Linked DNA regions of Caenorhabditis elegans. The protein of the gene in region 2 interacts with the protein of the main gene of each other region in a pairwise test. Each region holds a gene or a part of one and is shown on either strand. Other genes may lie near its edges.

Evidence for each region.
Region 1: the proteins of alp-1 (region 2) and ZK1307.9 interact in a two-hybrid assay, tested with the Caenorhabditis elegans proteins (3 studies listed by BioGRID).
Region 3: the proteins of alp-1 (region 2) and ZK121.2 interact in a two-hybrid assay, tested with the Caenorhabditis elegans proteins (3 studies listed by BioGRID).
Region 4: the proteins of alp-1 (region 2) and C09G1.4 interact in a two-hybrid assay, tested with the Caenorhabditis elegans proteins (3 studies listed by BioGRID).

Annotation. Positions count from the first base shown.
Region 1 is NC_003280.10:9,647,823-9,651,592, forward strand, and holds ZK1307.9 (Coiled-coil domain-containing protein 130 homolog), read left to right. Parts: upstream 1-1,668; coding exon 1,669-1,983; intron 1,984-2,082; coding exon 2,083-2,340; intron 2,341-2,448; coding exon 2,449-2,593; intron 2,594-2,673; coding exon 2,674-3,065; 3' UTR 3,066-3,140; downstream 3,141-3,770. Other genes in the region: Galactosylgalactosylxylosylprotein 3-beta-glucuronosyltransferase sqv-8, read left to right, coding at 116-253, 333-436, 483-979, 1,071-1,402; ZK1307.4 (motile sperm domain-containing protein), read right to left, coding at 3,209-3,355, 3,665-3,757.
Region 2 is NC_003282.8:8,850,803-8,855,712, reverse strand, and holds the start of alp-1 (PDZ and LIM domain protein Zasp), read right to left. Parts: upstream 3,214-4,910; 5' UTR 3,200-3,213; coding exon 3,101-3,199; intron 2,595-3,100; coding exon 2,449-2,594; intron 1,184-2,448; exon of another isoform or gene 1,168-1,183; coding exon of another isoform or gene 1,136-1,167; intron 1,054-1,135; coding exon 945-1,053; intron 815-944; coding exon 657-814; intron 418-656; exon of another isoform or gene 358-417; coding exon of another isoform or gene 265-357; intron 221-264; coding exon of another isoform or gene 41-220; intron 1-40. Other genes in the region: T11B7.5 (uncharacterized protein), read left to right, coding at 41-220, 265-357.
Region 3 is NC_003281.10:5,339,974-5,344,980, forward strand, and holds ZK121.2 (R3H domain-containing protein), read left to right. Parts: upstream 1-1,708; 5' UTR 1,709-1,716; coding exon 1,717-1,920; intron 1,921-2,303; coding exon 2,304-2,635; intron 2,636-2,679; coding exon 2,680-2,820; intron 2,821-2,938; coding exon 2,939-3,347; intron 3,348-3,624; coding exon 3,625-4,143; intron 4,144-4,201; coding exon 4,202-4,273; 3' UTR 4,274-4,286; downstream 4,287-5,007.
Region 4 is NC_003284.9:15,993,722-15,998,483, reverse strand, and holds the start of C09G1.4 (uncharacterized protein), read left to right. Parts: upstream 1-1,546; 5' UTR 1,547-1,562; coding exon 1,563-1,644; intron 1,645-4,045; exon of another isoform or gene 4,046-4,269; intron 4,270-4,752; coding exon 4,753-4,762.

The DNA.
Region 1 (3,770 bases), on a different chromosome or scaffold from region 2:
GTCAAATCCGGCTTAAAATAGTGCTTTGTCGATCACTTTTTGAACTTCCAAATTTCAATTTTTCAGGGATAAATAAACCAAATGAAACTGTTCGACCTGTCGCCGCACCGACATAATGTTTCCATCTAGATTACTAGAAAAATGGTGGCTCCGAGCATTTATTGCACTTGTTATTTTCTTCGTTTGGCAACTATTTTATGCAATTAATCGGGTACAAAGTTTGGAAGAAGAACGGGCCACTTTGCAAGCTACCGTGAGTTTATTTTTATGTTTCAACTGTTTTTCTGTAACTAAAATGTCACTTTTATCAAAATTTCAGTAATAATTTTCAGATAGAAGTTTTGACACGAAAAAGCGACGGGTTAAGAACGCAGATATTCGAAAAAGAACGAAATTTGGTTCGATTAAATGGGAAAGTTGAGGAGATTGATACACAGTAAGATTTTTTAAAAGTATTTATTCTTCTAAGAATATAATTACAGAATACGCGATCATCTTTCCCTCCTGCCACGTGTTAATCGTTCAACGCCTTTCATTTATTTTATAACTCCAACACATTTCCGCGCTGCTCAGCGAGCCGATCTCACTCGTCTATCCTACACGCTTTCCCATGTTCCCAACCTCCATTGGATCGTTGTAGAAGATTCCGATGAACTCACACCATCCATCGCCGGAATTCTGAAAAGATCAAAAATTCCAAATACACATCTAAATGCTCGAACTCCGTCTGATCAAAAAATGAGATACGATGACCCCAATTGGACGTTGCCACGTGGCGTTGAGCAACGAAATCGAGCACTTTTATGGATTCAAAATCAATTGAGTGGTGTGAAAGAGGGCGTTGTGTACTTTGGAGATGATGATAACACATATGATCTGAAAATTTTCGGAGAAATGCGGAAAGTGAAAAATGCAGGAGTTTGGCCAGTTGGAATAGTTGGTGGAATGTTTGTAGAAACGCCAATTTTAGAGAAAAATGGTACGGTTTTTAAATATTTCCTTAATTTATTTGAACTAGGTTTTAATTTTCATAACCAGTCCTTGCTTAAATTTTAAATACATCTTTTTAGGATCGATTTCCCATTTCAACGCTGTCTGGAAACCGGAGCGTCCATTTCCGATCGATATGGCTGCATTTGCAGTCAATATTTCTCTGGTTCTCTCCAACGCGAACGCTCTTTTCTCATTCGACGTGCCTCGTGGATATCAAGAATCTACTTTTCTTGAAAATCTTGGAATTCATCGTTATAATATGGAACCACTTGCGGAAATGTGCACGAAAGTGTATGTGTGGCATACGAGAACTGAAAAACCGAAATTGTCGAAAGAATCGATTGATCGATTGACTAAAAAGACAGGATTCAACTCGTTAGAAGCACATGCGCTTGGTGTGGATAATTAAGAAAAGTTCTAATTTTGTTATTTTTGTTGAAGTACCCATTTTAGTTTGATATAATTCATTTTCCACAGATTTTACCCAATGTACAAAAACCTACGAGTACCCTTTTATTGCATTTTGACTAACTTTCATAAATATTTTTCTTTACCTTCTTTTCAAAAAATTTAACTCCTCAACAGTTGTGTAGCTGTTTTTATTATTTACAAGTCTTTACTTCTTATACCAATTTTATTCTGTTCTGGAAAACGTAAAACTTATTCCAATTATAGATGGGAGAGCGTAAAGGACAAAACTTCTACTATCCGCCGGATTTCAATTACAAAACCCACAAATCTTTAAATGGATATCATGGAACCCACGCGCTTCGCGAACGTGCCAAAAAGATTGACCAAGGAATTTTGGTGATCCGTTTCGAAATGCCATTCAATATTTGGTGTCTTGGATGTCATAATCATGTTGGAATGGGAGTACGGTACAATGCAGAAAAAAAGAAAATTGGAATGTACTACACGACACCGCTTCACGAATTTCGAATGAAATGCCATCTTTGTGATAATTATTATGTGATTCGGACCGATCCAAAGGTATTTTCTAACTTAAGAAGTGGATGTAGTCTTTAAAAAAATATAATTCAAATTTCTAATTTTATCTTCAAAAATCTTCAAAAAAAATCATAACTTCAGAATTTCGACTACGAACTAGTGGAAGGATGCTCACGACAGGAACTTCGTTTCGATCCAACCGACATTGCACAAATCGGAGCAGTTGATCGTGGTTTTACTCAGAAACTCGCAGCAGACGCAATGTTTAAAAAAGAACATGAAGCAGAAGATAAAGATAAAGCAGCTACTGAAGAAGGACGAGTTGATAAGTTGGAATGGATTCAAGAGAGAATGAGAGACGATTTTACAGCAAATTCGTTTTTGAGAGCACAGTTTAGGGTAGGTTTTTTTGGCTTTTTAAAATCCATTTTTGGGAAATGCAGTTGATTTTTTTTTTAATTCTTTGAAAATTTTCAAAAAATTTATTAATTTTTCTTCAATTTTCAGAACGAGAAGAAATCCCTCAACGAAACTCGTGCTCGAGATGCGAATCTTCGTGATAAACTATCCATTGGAACGACTCAATTATTACCAGAAACAGAAGAGGATCGACGGATAGCGTCTATGATGACAAGATATCGAGATACAAAAAGTGAGTTTTTGCTTCTTTTATATCATTAAAAAATATTTACAGCTTTTAATTCCTGTTCAATAAAAACTATTAAATTACAGCTCACGATGATCACCTCGAATCTTCCCGCGATCGAATCGAATCACGTAGGATCTTCAGACGACCGGAAGAAACTGACACACCATCCACGTCTTCTGGATCTTCTGGAGGCGCTGTTCCATCCGCTTCCGAACGATTGAAGGCTACAATGAAAGCAGAGAGAGATAAACGAATCAATGCCTCATTTTCAACTGCTGGAACATCATCCGCGACTCAGAAACTTTTAGGAATCAAGAGAAAATCAGCTTCGTCTCTGGGTGTTCAAATTAAAAAAGCCGCTCCGGAAAACTCAAGTCTCCAAGATGAAGAACCTGCAGTGGAGAAGCCAAACATTTCAAACCCAATCTCACTTATTGCTCAAGAATACGGAAACTCGTCAGACGATTCAGATTAATTATTTTATCGAACGTTTAGCTGTTTTTTCTCTGTGAGAATTATCTTACTAATAATAATAAACACCCAGAACAAAAATTCCAATCTTCATTTTTACATACAATGCTCAGTTTAAAAATATCTTGTTTTTCTTTGGTGTATTATTCATTCGGCAGCAGACAACTTGATGACTGTCTCTCCAGAAAGCTCTCCTGGTGGCACTCCATTTGCGAACAATGGTTTTGGATCCGTGTTCTCATCAACTACCATACAGTACTGGATGATCAACTTGTCGGCTTGTGGCTTTCCAGGCTGAAATTTCAATGAAAATTATTACATAGAAGTCCAAGAATGAGAATTTCCGCCATATCTTCCGCGCATGGGTCTCACCATGCTGACAAAGGGCTACTGTAACTCGTGTCATTTTATGGGTCGCGATTGTATCATACGTTGATTAAAAAAATTTGGAAGCACTATTTCATTCGATATGAAAGTTATAATGCAATAGTGGAGCAAAACGTTGCGAAGTACAGTAACTTATTGTCAGCGTGGTGAGACCCAAACTTTCATCTTTAAACGGCTTCGTAATAGATTGTGTTCCTAGATTTAGAAAATTTATACCTTTCTGGTGATGACCAATTCCTTGACATCGCAAACTTTCAAGATTCCATAGATTAAGTTGACGCTGTAGTTTGAGTTGTTTGAGGATTTTACCTGACATGGTATT
Region 2 (4,910 bases):
CCTAGTTTTTTCACAATCTAAATTATCCTACATTTTCCAGCTTAAATCCAAATTCGAGTCACTTGATGATGCTGACAAGGCAGCGGTTAAAAACTTGGCAAAAGTTTATGGAAAGCAAGCCAAGGCACTTGTCATGCCACATCTTCCAGAGGACTGCAAGGCTAAAACTGATGCTACAGATGATGCAGGAAAAGCTGCTGTCGCCGGAGGTTTCGACACGGTAATTTCGATTGAATTGTTATGATAAAGAATATCAATTTTCAGGGAGACTACCTTCCGCGCAAGAAACGCGAGCTTTTGTTCATCGATAACCTCACTGCAGCTTTCAGAGAAATGAGAAGCCGTCGTGGATTTTAAATACATTTAATTTGTTTTTCGTTTCTTGAAATTGAATGATAAAAAGCGTTAACGTCTTGTAATTTTTGGATTAATTTATGAGACTCGGAATTCGACCGCCACTTCTGACCCAACTGCCCCAAACCTAAGAATTTTGTTCAGAAGTTGGTAAAGGGTGAACAAAGCTTGGCCATGACTTGTCTCAAGAAATTTTTTTGTAAAATATAGGCCAACTTCCGAACTAAATTTATACTATATTTTCTGGCCAAATTGAACTATAAGTGCTCTTTCAAAAATTTAGTCATGTAAAAAACACTCACCCTGAATTATCTCCCAATCCTTGAGTTTGTTGAACATATTGCTCAGCTGCAGACTTATCGGAATAAATTCCCAATGGAGAATTGTATTGCATATGTTTCACACGTTGATCTGTTTCAAAAGGAAGTGCTGAATTGTTGAAACCTTGTGGTGGACGGGTCTAAAAATAATTTATTATTCACTATTTATTAGAAATTTTAAAAAATGTTATGCTATTGTCGTTAAAAACGATTACAAATAACGATTTTGTGTGAAGCTTCCTATTTCAAAACAAAACTCAAATGACTCACATCACTGCTATGCTGCAAATTGACACGATATGGGGTTTGATCCTGTCCTGGTCCAGTATTTTCAGTTACTTCTGGACGCCAAATTCTGGTGGCTGCACCGGATGGTTGCCTGAAATTAAACTTATTTGATATGAATGAAATCAAAATTTATTTATTTTCTATTTAATCTCTTCGATTAAATTTCAAATTACCATGGTCTTGGCGTCGTTGTGATTCTCACCATCACTTTTGAATCTTAAATCATTTCAATTGAACATGAAATATATTTATAGGAAAATGGGTAAACGTAAAGAAAAAGGAAACTTGCAAGTTTTTTTGTTCAAAAATGATAAACACCTGGAAAAGGGAAATATGTGAGAGGAAGTATTCAACAATTTCATTCTCTCAGTTTTTGTGTGCGAGAGGGTGAATAAATTGTTGGAACACTCTGATACAACAACAGAGAATGAAATAAAAAGAACAGTGTCAGAAGTACATTGCTTTGTCATGAACTGACTCATCATTAAAACCCTATTTATTTAAAATTCAACTGTTCAAAGTAAAACATAACATTCAGGAGAAAATTATGCGAATTCGGGAAAAGTAAAAGCCAAAATAATAATAATTGTCAAACTGTTTTGTTTTGGTATTTCTTAAAACTATACAGCAGTTTTGGAAAGAATCTTGAATGCTGTGGCAGTTATTTTTGGCAATTCTATAACATTTTTCCATGCAACTTTTTTTGCAGTTGCTTATGTAAAAAGTGCTCAAAAATAAGTTTAAAGGGGCAAAAATATCTGAAGCTTGTTAAAACTATCAACACAGAATGATTTTTGAGGGAAAAAGGTAACGAGCTTCAAATTTAATGACATTAGAGTGCTTATAAGAGGAGCAAAACTTGTGTTGCAAAGCTGTTGCAAAGCTAAAGAAAACATTGATTGGGACATTTGACCGTTTCAAAACAGTTCAAAACAGTTGCAACGATTTGTCATCAAACGGAATATGTATGTATAAATCCTAAGTCCCTCCTTCTTCCTGCAACGAGATATTCGGAAGAATGTTGCCTTCTGCTTCCCCCGTACCGATTGGCCTGATTCTTATCTGTTCGCCTGTTTATATGGCGGGTGTTCGCTTCGAAAATTTTGGATATCTATATTCTATTGCATGAAGCACTTGCTGTTGGAGATAAACTAAGACGCAGACGGATTAAAAACGGAAAGGTAGGATACATTGGTGATGTGATTAAAACGGAGAACACTTTGACTGGTTAATAAACGGAAATACAAACTGGTAAGTAACCTACTTTGAATTGCGTTGTGATAACAAAGCTACAGATTACATAACTAGGGTTGTGTACATTTTCAAGGGATCGATTTAGGGGAAATATTCGAGAAAATTATGTCTTTCTTATTATTTTCACACACCTGCTCTGTTTATATATAATTTTTATTTATTGTGGTCGACACAAATTTTGAATAATTGGTGCTATACTGATAAATTTGAAGTGTTTAACGAGATGAGTTACCTGGTAACAATAAGTTCAATCTTCTCATGAGCTGTAACTAGAAGTCTATCAACAGCGTTTATGTCCAAATTGTCAAGATCTTCCAAACGATCAACAACATCTCCATTACGAAGACCGGCACGATCAGCTAAGCTACCACCTATTACCTGAAATTTTCAACTTTTATTCGATATTCAACTTGTTTGAATTGAAGGCTCCCTTTGCTTTAAAAAATCCCCCAACGCATGTCAATTTTTCAAATTCATTTTTTCTTACGTTAACGACTAATCTCTCACTACATTTTGTCTATGAGTTTTGAGAGAAATTTTGAAAGCATCTAACTTATTGTAATAAGTGATGTTTTTTGTGTTGCTCTTCCGATTTTCCCTGGGCATGTCCAGAGGATAAAACTGCGAGAGAAAGTGAGGAAGGCGATGAGATTGTAAATCAGTTGTGGTGATGCGGTGATTTTTGAGATCGCGGTAAGAACCTAGAGGTGCTAAAAGTGAATGTGATGGGTTTTCTTGGTTTTTGTATTAAATGTATACGAAAACATATGCCTCAAGACTAATTTTTACGACAAATTTTATTGTGATTCAATTTGGACAAACTGACAAACTACTTTATGACAAATAGGGGGACACTTATACTAAATTTATAATAAAGAGCTTACATTAACAATAAGAACAGCTCCATCTGGGGCTTCTGTCACACCGAACCCCCATGGAGTTCGGCGATCCGAACGAGCCATTCGAACGGTCACACGTTCCATCTTGATTTGACTACCTGAAATTTTATTGTGTCCTGGTCAATAAAATAGAGCGAAACAAATAAAAATAAATCAAAGTTTCAAACAGAATTTAGTAGAACATGTTTAAAAAAATATTGTCCAACCGAAAATATTCATTTTGTTTCAAATGTGTACCACTTCAAACGCAGTTATTTGCTAAAGCGCAAACGTTTCAGTCCAATAGTTACACGAAATCTTCAATAACCACGTGGCGTTTATAGATGAAAAATTTTGCAAACATTTTGACATTTTGAATTTTTACTTTTAATTAAAAATTGAAAACAAAAAAATCGTATTGTTTTCCGTATAGTGCAAAATAGAAAATAAGAGTAAAAGAAGGGAGAGTGAGATTATGCTGGATTTTGTATATTTATCGACTGTCGGGCAATTTGACGGGGGAAATGGTAGTGAATGACTACAACAGAAAAAAAAAGATTGTTGAAAAAGTAAGATGTTTTATTTAAAATTAATAAAGAAATTCAATTGAAATTATGAAACTGAGCATAACGAGTTTTCTGATTCGATGAGTCATTCGTGATTGACAGTTAATTTTTTTTATGGAACTCTTATCGTTTAACGGAACATATAGTTTTAAACTACGTTTAAAAAACGATACCACACCCAATAATTGAAATTTTAGTTTTTTCCAATTTTTTTTTCATAATCAGTGTGTTTCATAATGAACACCGTATATTACCCCAGTTTTGTAGTTTTATTTCTAACTGCCAGTAACATTTTTTAAACTTTTAAAGAGGTGATACTTTTTGTAGGCCAATCTACATAAACTTATGAAAGTTTTATAACATAAAGTTTTATAACAACAAAGCTAACGATTTTTAACATGAAGTCCTGTATCTCCGTTTGCAACTTGAACATTAGTATTAAAGTCCTACAAACCAACCAAAAAAGAACTATTTGAACAATCTGGTAATGCTACTTGCTTTGAAGTAAAAAATAATTATAAACACAAAATACCACGAATGACGTTCTGAACTAAACTTCCTAGAGATCTATCGTATGTGAGCTAAAATGTTGGCAAAAAACAATCTTACATGATCCTAAATACATTTATCGAATTGCAGAGTACAAGTTTTATTCAAAAAAAACCGTGCCAACCTTAGGCATTGGTAGATTGCCGTTCATAATCTAAAAAGTAGTTTTAAACATTGTTTTCTTATATGAGATGGGTGATTTCAGATTACATCTTCAATTTTAGGTTGAAATTGCATTGTATCAAGTCTAGAAGTATACAGAACTAATGTATAAATTAAGACGGTTGAGTTCCAAAAAAAAATTCCAAAAAATCAACTTGGTGTTGTGTTGCGGAGGTGGGGGTTCTGCTGTTCTGAGGTCTGTGCGGATAAAGCTTCAGGCCCAACGGTGTACGGCACGCGCGGGCGTGAGCACATCCTCTCGCTCGAACTCTGACATTCTCTCGCTCTTCCCGGCGCGGGAAGCCTTCTCGCACTTCATGGCCATCTCCTCTTGAGCTCCCGAGAGCCGGGGGAGCTCTCGGAATGATATAGGGATGATTTTGAGGAGGCGCAGGTATTGGACGTGTTTGTAGTAAAGCGAGTGCGCGTTGCTGATTATCAACGAAAAGGGGAGGGGGATGGGATGATAAGAAGACCGAGACGAAAATGAGAAGAAATTTGGAACAAAAGTGCGATTTGTTTGAAAGAGCTTGAGACAT
Region 3 (5,007 bases), on a different chromosome or scaffold from region 2:
GAGTTTACAACATAGCCAAATGGAGAAAACATATATTTGAACTTTGCAAAAAAATATTATTTATCTAACCAAAAGTAAACTACCGTATTTCTTCTATTAATATGGCTGCAATACTATTTTTCGATGGTCTTCCCGCTTGCAATACTAATAGGGAGTGCAAGACTATTAGGGAGTGCAATACTAATTTTCAGAACATTTTTCTGACTTTGAGCTTACTATTTTTTTCTGAAAAAAACTCGTATCTTATGTAAAAATTCAGAAAATTTGATTGCAATTGCAACAAAAAGGTACAATAACTTCAATTCCATAGAAATTTTACCAAAAATTTGTTGCAAAGTAGGCAAAAAATGTTGTAAAAATCTCAAAATTCAAAGGTGCAATACTAATAGGGAGTGCAAGTCTAATAGGGAGGCCATATTAATAGAAGAAATACGGTATTCTGAATTCCGCTCGTTAGTATCTTTTTATTGAAAGTTTTCAAAAGAGATTTATAATTTTCAAATAAAAATTCTAAGAATTTTACAATTCTTTCAAGTTATCAAGTTTTTGGATGTAGAACTACGTTTGCACTATATTTTCCAGAGATTCATACCGAAAAAGTTCTAAAAGTCAATTTCCGTTAGGAAACCTCACCTCAATTTCCTCCCACCCATTATTATTCAAGATGAGCACTCCCACCCGTGAGCCACCACAAAAACACATTATTTGGCAGTTTCTAATCCCCTACAAATCCCCCTTGAAAATGATTTTGATCTGATTTTGAGCTTTTCGCAGAAATAATTGGAAATGTTTGAGAAAATGGATGGAAACTGCATATTATCAGTGATATTTAGTTGTTAATTCATGCTTATTTAGTTGCCTGTTTCATAGAAAATTGGTGATAAAGTTGTCATACGGTAGGAAGTAGGACATGATTGGAAAAACTAGATTACTGTAATTCGAAGAGTCATTTTAAATTTAATTTTTTGAACTCTATAAGCTACTAATTTTGCCTAGGTTCAACAAATTTTGGGTCCCACCGCGAAGACTGGAGTTCAGTTTGAAATGTTAATTTTCATGTTTCAATGCACTTTTAAGCTATAATAAACGAGAGATTCCGTTACAAGACCCACAGTTGTAAAATTGACGTTATGTAACTTACAATTAGACGAGAAGATACATAAAAGTGGAAATACCGAATTTTTTTTTGAATTACTCGCAATAGAATTTTTATTTTTATTGCAAGAATACGCAAGAAACACCCGCAAATTGAATTATAACGGGCTTTAACTTCCTCCCTTCTTGCTTCCTCCACGTTTTCTTTGAACCTCTGCTTCACCTCAGATTTCTTTGTTTACATTTATTTGGTATCTCTTATCTCTGCATAGATAAAAGCTTGGAAATTCTTTTAATTTTTAAATACCTTCTTCTTTTTCTTATTCGAACTATTATACCTTTTCAAAAAATAGGCCTATTATGTATTTATATTCATTTTTATGTTTTTTATTGCGAAATTTCGTCTCGTTTTTTGGTTCTCAAAAGGCGGGGCTTAGCATTGAATGGGGGAGAAGGACATTCGTGGGCGGAGACTCTAAAGCAGCTGAAGCTTACCCACTGCTCCATTTTCATGCAAACTCTGCTCTTTTTTGGTAGTACTACTTCTTGAATCCTATTTTTTTAAATTCTCATCCTCTGCTTTTTCTGTGCTTCCAACAAAAACCAAATTTTCAGGTGTAAATGTCAACCGAAAACGACGTTTCAGAAGAGAATAATTCAGAGCTTGACGATGTTGAAGACGCAAAACAAGATGATCGGCGACGATCGACTACGGTAATAATGACAATGAATGTGACGACGGTGCCAGCTACAGAAAGTGAGGGAGTTCGGAGGAATGGAAGTGTTCGAAGACGACTTTCAAAACAGAATGCAACAATTGAAGAGGTGAGCAATTTCAAGGGAAGGTGGGAAATTGTCCCGCGAAGTGTCGGACTTCGAATATGGGTGCCGTTGCTGATGTAGTTCTTGTCCCGTATGGTGTATGCTGCTAAGGTACACAACTTCTTGAAGCCGGCTAAAAGTTATCACTAACCCGTAAAATGTCGGCTGCTTGGAGAATACATTATTTTATTATCATATTGATCAGCTCACTCTCTTGTGAATCATCAGAGGATGATCCGATTTTGTGTCATAGGCCGCGCTGAAAACTGAAATAGTTCCTGTTAGGAAGTCTGCTGAAATTCATATTTTTCACCCAATTTCGAAGAATGTTTGTAAGTTTATAGACAAAATCTGGTCGTTTTCGACTGAAATTTTTTAATTTTTAGCCAATATCTCTCCTGTCAATTTCTGATAGCCCATCAGAAAACTCGGATACTACGGTCCCATGCATAGAAGAGCATCCAGAAGAAGGCAAAGAAGAGGAGAAGCCAGCAGAAAGCAGTGACGTGTCAAAACTCCGCCCACCGGGTCTCGCACAGAATAAACTGTGGTCCACATCGAAATCGTTAAGCAGAGAGTCCACAGGAACCGAGTACTCGGACAGAAGTGGCATTGATCTAAGGAATTTTGTGGATCGCACGTTACACAAGAGTGAAGAAGATCGGAAGCAGCTTCTGGAGTTCGAAAAACAACTCAAAGAACTTATTTTAGATGATAGGTTCGTTTTTGTTAAAATTTCAGTCTGAAATTGATAATTTTCAGCACACAATCGAAAAGATTCGAGCTTCCATCATCCTATCACCGAATGCTTCTTCACAGGTGTGCCGCGTGGTTTGGTCTTGATCATAATGTTACGAATAAGCAGACCGATATTGTTGTGAACAAGTCAGAGAAAACCAAAATGTGAGTTGATTAATTTTCGGATGTATGTATCATGAAAATCATAATATTTTGTCTGTTTTAGTTTAGCCCCTTTATTTGGTCTTGTCAGATTTTAACTAGAAAAGTAACAAATTTCCAGTCCTGATGACAACTTCACCGACTACATCCGGCACGATAATTACGTAGAAGACCGACTGAAACGACAAAACACTTGCGGATCCCGCAAGGAACTTCACCATATGGAATCATTCGGTGATCATTCGACGAGTCAATATGGAAGTCAAGCAAGTCTTAATCATGATCTACTCATGATGCGAAGGGCACAATCATTTGACGTGGCAGCAGTCACTGGACCATCAGTTATTCAACCTCAATCTCCACATCATGTTCGAGGTCTTCCGATGCGACAACTTTCACTCAACTGCCCACAACAATCAATGGTTACTGCACCAATGAGTGGACCACAGGGACATCAATGGGCACCGCAAAGATCATTTGATTGCTCCAATAATAGTTATTTGTGCACTGGAAAACATCCAATGATGAGGGTGAGTATCAGAGTTCGCCTGAAAAATCGATTTTTCAAAAAAGAAACAGCGTCGAGTTTTACTTTCTCACGATCGCTAAGCTACAAGATTTTGAATCAATATATGATTGAGATTGAACGTGTGGCCGTCAATATCTGTGAGCTTCAGCCATGTCGATTTACGAGTATCTCTCATACATTTCATAAGTTTCCATAAGTTTCCGAGTTTCGAAAAATTTAAGATCACATGCCGTGGGCGCAAAAAACGCTTCTCAAACTCTAACCTCTAAATTTTCCAGAAAGCAGAGAGCTTCGGAGGAATGGCAAACGGAATATCACATGGCTGTTACGAGCAAAGTGTGCCAGTAGTTTGTGGAACACCTCCATCAGTGATGGTTCATCACCACCACCACCACGCTCACATCCAACAACCTCCAACCTCCAACTATACAGGCTATCAGGTATTCGAAGAAATGTCAATGCCATCATCAAACTACCAAGAGCCTGGAATGTGCTCCCCGGGAGGAACCTACTATGAGTATGTACCTCAACCAGTAGTTCAACCACAACAGTACGCTCGTCCAATTCGGTACATGCCACAAGATTACCGAAGACCTCAAGGAGTTCAGTATATGTATGGACCACCACCACCACAACAATATATGCAATACCAGCCAATGGTTCATCCGGAAGTTGAAGTTATTGTAGATCCAGTTCAAACTCAACCCTTTCCACAAGTCAGTCACTTTGTACTGCCTGATCAACAACAGGGATACTCATCAAGCCATCAAGCAGAGACAGCAAATAGTTTTATAAAGGTAAGGTTGAAGATGAGGAAATGAATTGATGGTTGTTGAAAATAGAACAACGATTTAGGCAAGCATTGATGGTGGATATGGAAGCATGAATCAAGACGTCGAGAATGCTGAAAAGGTCGAGGAGGTCTAAACCTTTCCCCCCCCCCCCCCCCCCCCCTCCCGTTGTCTCTTTAAATGGTATTTCTTCTTTCTAGCCATCCCCTTGTAGATTGTGATAAAACCCCACGAAAAGACGATATCGCCAAACATCTGGATAATTACGATTATATGAACATGATTCGAAGTACGGATTTTCAATTTTTTCTAGTCAACTTGTAGATTTCTTTCTCTCTCTCAATCCTTGTCATCTTTTTTTTTCTTTCGCTCTTTTGATATCGAATAAATTGATTTTCAATGCCGCTAAATAACCGCTAAACTCAATCATAAGACTTTGACATGCATTTTTAAAGGAGCAAGCATTTATTCAGAAGTGTCTTGGCACGAGAAAAGGTTCATGGTAAATAGCCATTGTTTAAATTTTTCGGCTGCCTCCAAGTTTACTTTCCTTAATTCCTTGCATTCTTCATTGAAATTACCTCGTCTTTAGAAAATTTTATGTTTTGTTTTCATTTTTCCGTTTAAAATGCTTTATTACGGGAACAAACAATTCTGAGAATGCATATTGCGCAACACATTTGACGCGCAAAATATCTCTTAGCAAATTCTACAGTAATTCTTTAAATGACTACTGTAGCGCTTTCGCCGATTTACGGGCTCGATTTTTGAAATTAATTGAAATAATTTAATTATCGATAAATAAAATATTTTAATTCAATTCGAAAATCGAGGCCGTAAATCGACACAAGCGTTACAGTAGTCATTCAA
Region 4 (4,762 bases), on a different chromosome or scaffold from region 2:
CATGTGTTTAACGAGAGGGGGACGGGATGGAACCCTAACTTTTGACGTGTGTGTGTGTCTACCGCCATTCGGGTGTTAGATTACCAAGCAATAATGCAAATGGGTTTGGCGGTTCAGATACTGATCATAAGTGAGTCACATTTTTGGTATTGCGGTAGTTTTTGAAGTTTAGAATTTTGAAGTTAAATTTTTCATAGTCCTCTTTATAGTCATTACCCTCAATTTAAAATTAAAACCCAATGACAATCACGAAAAAGTTTGCAATACCAGTGGTTTTATTAAACATAAATATTAGGGCTTTCATGCAGGCGACGTCTGCCTCGTGCCGCGAGCCGCGCCTCCTGCTTAGTGCTGCGCGGAACCCGAAAAGTGTCGGCCGCTTCCATGGAGGTCCTAATAGTTATCATCAAAAGCTTTTGGGGTCTCTTCTGAACAATCTCGCCATTTCTATGTTTTCGCCAAAAAATCCTAGTTCTATGTAATGTTTACACTGTATTCAAGTTCGTTTTTTTTCACTTTTCCAGAACATTCCTTGCTTTTCTTCTGTACACCCACTCTTCTATTTTTTTTCTTGTTATCACATTGTTCTGAACGACTGCATTGTGTGTTGTATGACCTTTTCCTTTTCGTGATCAATCCGTCCCTGGGGACAGTTCTATTAGGTCGGTGTGCCCACGAATGGTGTGCATTCTAGAGATAGTAGTGAAGAAAAACTGTTTTTTTTTTGCTTCAAGTTCGAATGCCGAAGTTGGTGTTCAAACATTGAATTGTCAATGGGGACACAAGTTGTTTTTTGTTTTTTTTTAATAGAAAGTTTTAGGTGCATTGTTTGGTTATTTTGGAAGAAAGCTGTATTTTTGAAAGCGTGCTCTTAATCTTTTTTTCCGATGCTCTTTCAATCAGTTTCCTTACTCATCATAGTAAAATCCGATATTTCTAACAATACGAGGGTAGCTATTTTTCACTATTTAAAGATTAAAGGGTCAAAGGACGATCCGTTCTCCAAGTGCTATGCACTGCGGATCTGGGACTCAGGTACACTGCCTGGTGGTGATCCCACTGGGTTGTAATTTAAGCCACGTCCGAGCCGGGGACTGTGGCCGATAATCCAGTCTTGGATTGCTCCACTTCCCAATAGGGGCTGGGTGAACCTAGGAAGTGAGGCCGGACTTGAACTCGTGACCTCCAGATTGCTAGCGGCCACCACTACCGACTGAGCTATTTGCCCCCTTATATATTTAATTACTCTTGATCAAAACACACCTAAAACTTCCAAGACGTCAGTACGTGCACCAGTGCCAGTCACGATTGTGTCCACTTTACATATATATCCAATTAACAGTGTCACTTTTCACATCTTTACGTCCATCTCGCTTTTTTTTCGCCTTCTTTTTTTCCCCTACTTTTCCGCAGCCCCCAAAAATTGAGAACATACCTTAACTAGGCCGATTATATCCCATCAGGTCTTTGATGTTATCATTTGTTTCTTTACCTCTGATATGTTATCTTTTTTTTCAAATTGTTCTCTTATAAACTTACAATTTTCAGAGACACAAATCACAATGTCTTCTGGAAATCGGCAGGCTCCAATGCCCCCACCAAAACCTCGAAATTTGGGGCGTGGCCAGTTTTATCAACAAGGAGGTACGTCATAATTATTTCTCACTTTTTTTTCCAAATTCAAAATTAATTTCTTCTTTTTTGCACCAGTCATTCAGTATTCGCTCGTCATCTACAAATAGAAAAGGGAAAAATTATGAATTTTCAATAGACGTACCTTTTTTTGAATACGTGTCTTTTTCGCAAAAAATGTTTTTTTTCTGTGATTTGTTTCTAATATTTTTTGTAAGAGCAAAGTTATTACCTACCATATGCCTAAAATAAATGTGGAATACTAGATTTCGAACATGGTGCATCGACTGGAAAATGTTTTTGGCGCTTGTTGCTTAAAAAACAGGTTACAAATATTTATTCACGTTTTTTTTGGAACATTTACTATGTAATACATAATTTCTTTTAACCGTTTGAACAATTTTTTTCCTGTTTTTTGCTCTAGTCATTTAGTATTCGTTCATCATGAATTATTTCCGAGCTAAAAGAGGCAAATTATGAATTTTTCAAAAACGTACTTTTTCGAATGCAGTGGTGTAGCCATTTTTGCACAATTATGTTTTTTACATGTTTCTATGAGTTCAGTTCAGCCACAGTTTATGGATACAGATATTCATAATATGAAAGATATTTTAAACACGTAACTACTTCTGGAGTTTTTTTTTTTTTATTTTTGTTTAGAATTGTGAATATGCTCCGAAATCGGTCTTTGCAGAATTTTCAAAGTAACATATTAAAAAATTATGAACATTATATTTTTTTCGGTAAAATGTTTGGTATTTTTTAACGGAATGTTTTAAAAAATTGCAAAATTTTTTCGCTATTTTTCTTTAAAAGTGGAGTAGCGCCAGTGGGAAAGTTGTTAAAAACCACTCCTTTGGTCCCAAAATGACCACATATCATAATGAAACTTATTTATTGTCAAAAAGTGACAATTACTCAGTTTTTGCCAATCATAATTTTGGAAGTCGACCAAAAAAATGTTTCTACATTTTTTATACAGTAATTATTTGGATTAAAACATTGTAGGGCCCGGAACATGTGAAATTGCTTTGGATTTCTTCAAAAGCTCTTATTTTTCAAAATTCTGAAAATTTGCCAAAGTTTAACCGGAAATTATGAAAAGCCTGAAATTTTTTGAATTGTATTATTAAGATATTTGGTCTTTTTAGATCATAATGAGTGTCTACTCCATGTTTAAATAATACCCGTTTTTGCCTATTCCCCAAAACTCCAGTGGCCATTAATAGTCTGCAAGAACTAATTTCGGAAAATTTAGATCTGAAAGTCATTGAAACAAAACAAACTCTATTAAAATTTTAGGAGCGCATTTCCGCTATTTAAAACTTTTCAATCGTCTCTGTGAAATAAATGTTTTCAAATTAGGTAAAACGTTAGGTAAGTCTTGAGTAATTCTTAGTTAGTGTTGAAAACGTTAGTGTAGAAAAAATTTTTTTTGGAGCAATTGAATTTAACTGCTAAATTGTGCGTTTGTATTCCAAAATTTTGAAGCGAATCTAACAGATATTTGATCTCTGGCTTTCAATTGCAAAGTAATTCTCCCTTTTTTGTCGCTCACCACAAAGCGTCAAGTTTTCTCAGTTTCAGTGTAACATGCCATACACACCAAAACGACAAGCTTTTCAAAATAAGAAAAACGGAAAGTGAGCAAGTGACGCGGCGCGCGGTCAGCGTTTTTTTTTGTAACCCATCTCAAATGCCAAGTCTCTGTGTTCGTGGACCTTTTCAAGCGAGACTATGTCTGTGTATGTGTGTGTGCCTTTTTCATTTTTGCTCCCGAAGAGCCCAGTACTACACATTCAGAACTTTTACACTTCTAGCTCGGCACCATGTGCTGATCTTGGTCCAACAAACCCCAACAAAAGTGCGTTCTGCGTTTTGCCCGCAACCCATTCCTGCTTATTGCATTTTGAGGAAGAGCATTCAGACAGCGCCCATGATGCAGAATATTTGCGCGTTTTTTTTGAGTGTGTAAACGGAGAGCCCATTCTGAAAATAATCATTGGTTGCTGAAGAGGGCAAAGAATCGTAGCGCTACCAGTGTTTACTTGAGCTTGATCTTGGAATTTTGATTGGAACCTTTTTGATTTGAAATATAATTTTTGAACAGTATACTGAAAAAGTATGAAGCTCAACTGAAGCATATTGAGCTGAAAAAAGTAAATCTGAAATGTTCAGCACTTTTTTTCTACTTCCGATGTCTTTAAAATTGCTTTAAAAATATACTTACAGTCAACCATTTTAGAAATGCAAAACAATTTTTTCACTGATTTGTTTGATAAAAAAAACCACGTGGGGTCAAAGTGTCCCATGTTGGTTTGATCTTCAAAAAATGCGGGAGAACTTTTCCCCTGATTTCGTATGGCTAACCATGTGTGCTGACGTCACATTTTTCTGAAAAAAAAATTCCCGCCGATTTTGTAGATCAAACTGTATTAGGACAGCCTGACACCATTTGAAAATGATGCAAAAGATTTTCAGATCGGCTTCAAAGAGCTTCAGTTTTTCTTCAGACTTCAGACTTTCAAAGATATAGGCATTCCCAGTGCTCCTCGAGAGCATGCCTCACTTCTCCGTGTGGTCGAACCGAACCACTTCAACCCTTAACAGGCACGAGGGAGTGGACGAAAAAAAAAAAACGAAAGAAAAATGTGCCAAAACTTTTTTTTAGTGAGGGATGGGGTGTTGCACTCTCGTTTTGCCGTCCTCTTTCTTCTCCCCTGCTCTCTACTCTTCGGTAGATGTCATCAATAATTCTGTCCAAACATGCTTTAAACTCATTGTTCTTCCTCTCCTGATCCCCTTGTTGCTGCCGCCACCAAAAAACGTCACGTTCCACTTCTTCTTCCTCTCCTGCTGCTACTTTTTGCAGTTTCTTTTCGCCTATACATTTTCATTTTTTTGTCGGCGGTTACTACCGCTCCAGCTCCTACTTCCATTTTTTTCATTTTCATTTTATCTCATTTATAATGCGGACATATCGCGTTTCCCCCCAAACAGACCCTTTTTTTTTGGTTTAAGGCCGTGAGAAATAGAAAAGAGAGAGGAGGTGGAGAAGTAAAAGTAAAGTAAATGAAATAGCAGAGGTTATTGCACTTTCATATTTTTTTTCATTTGCAGGGTATCTCAC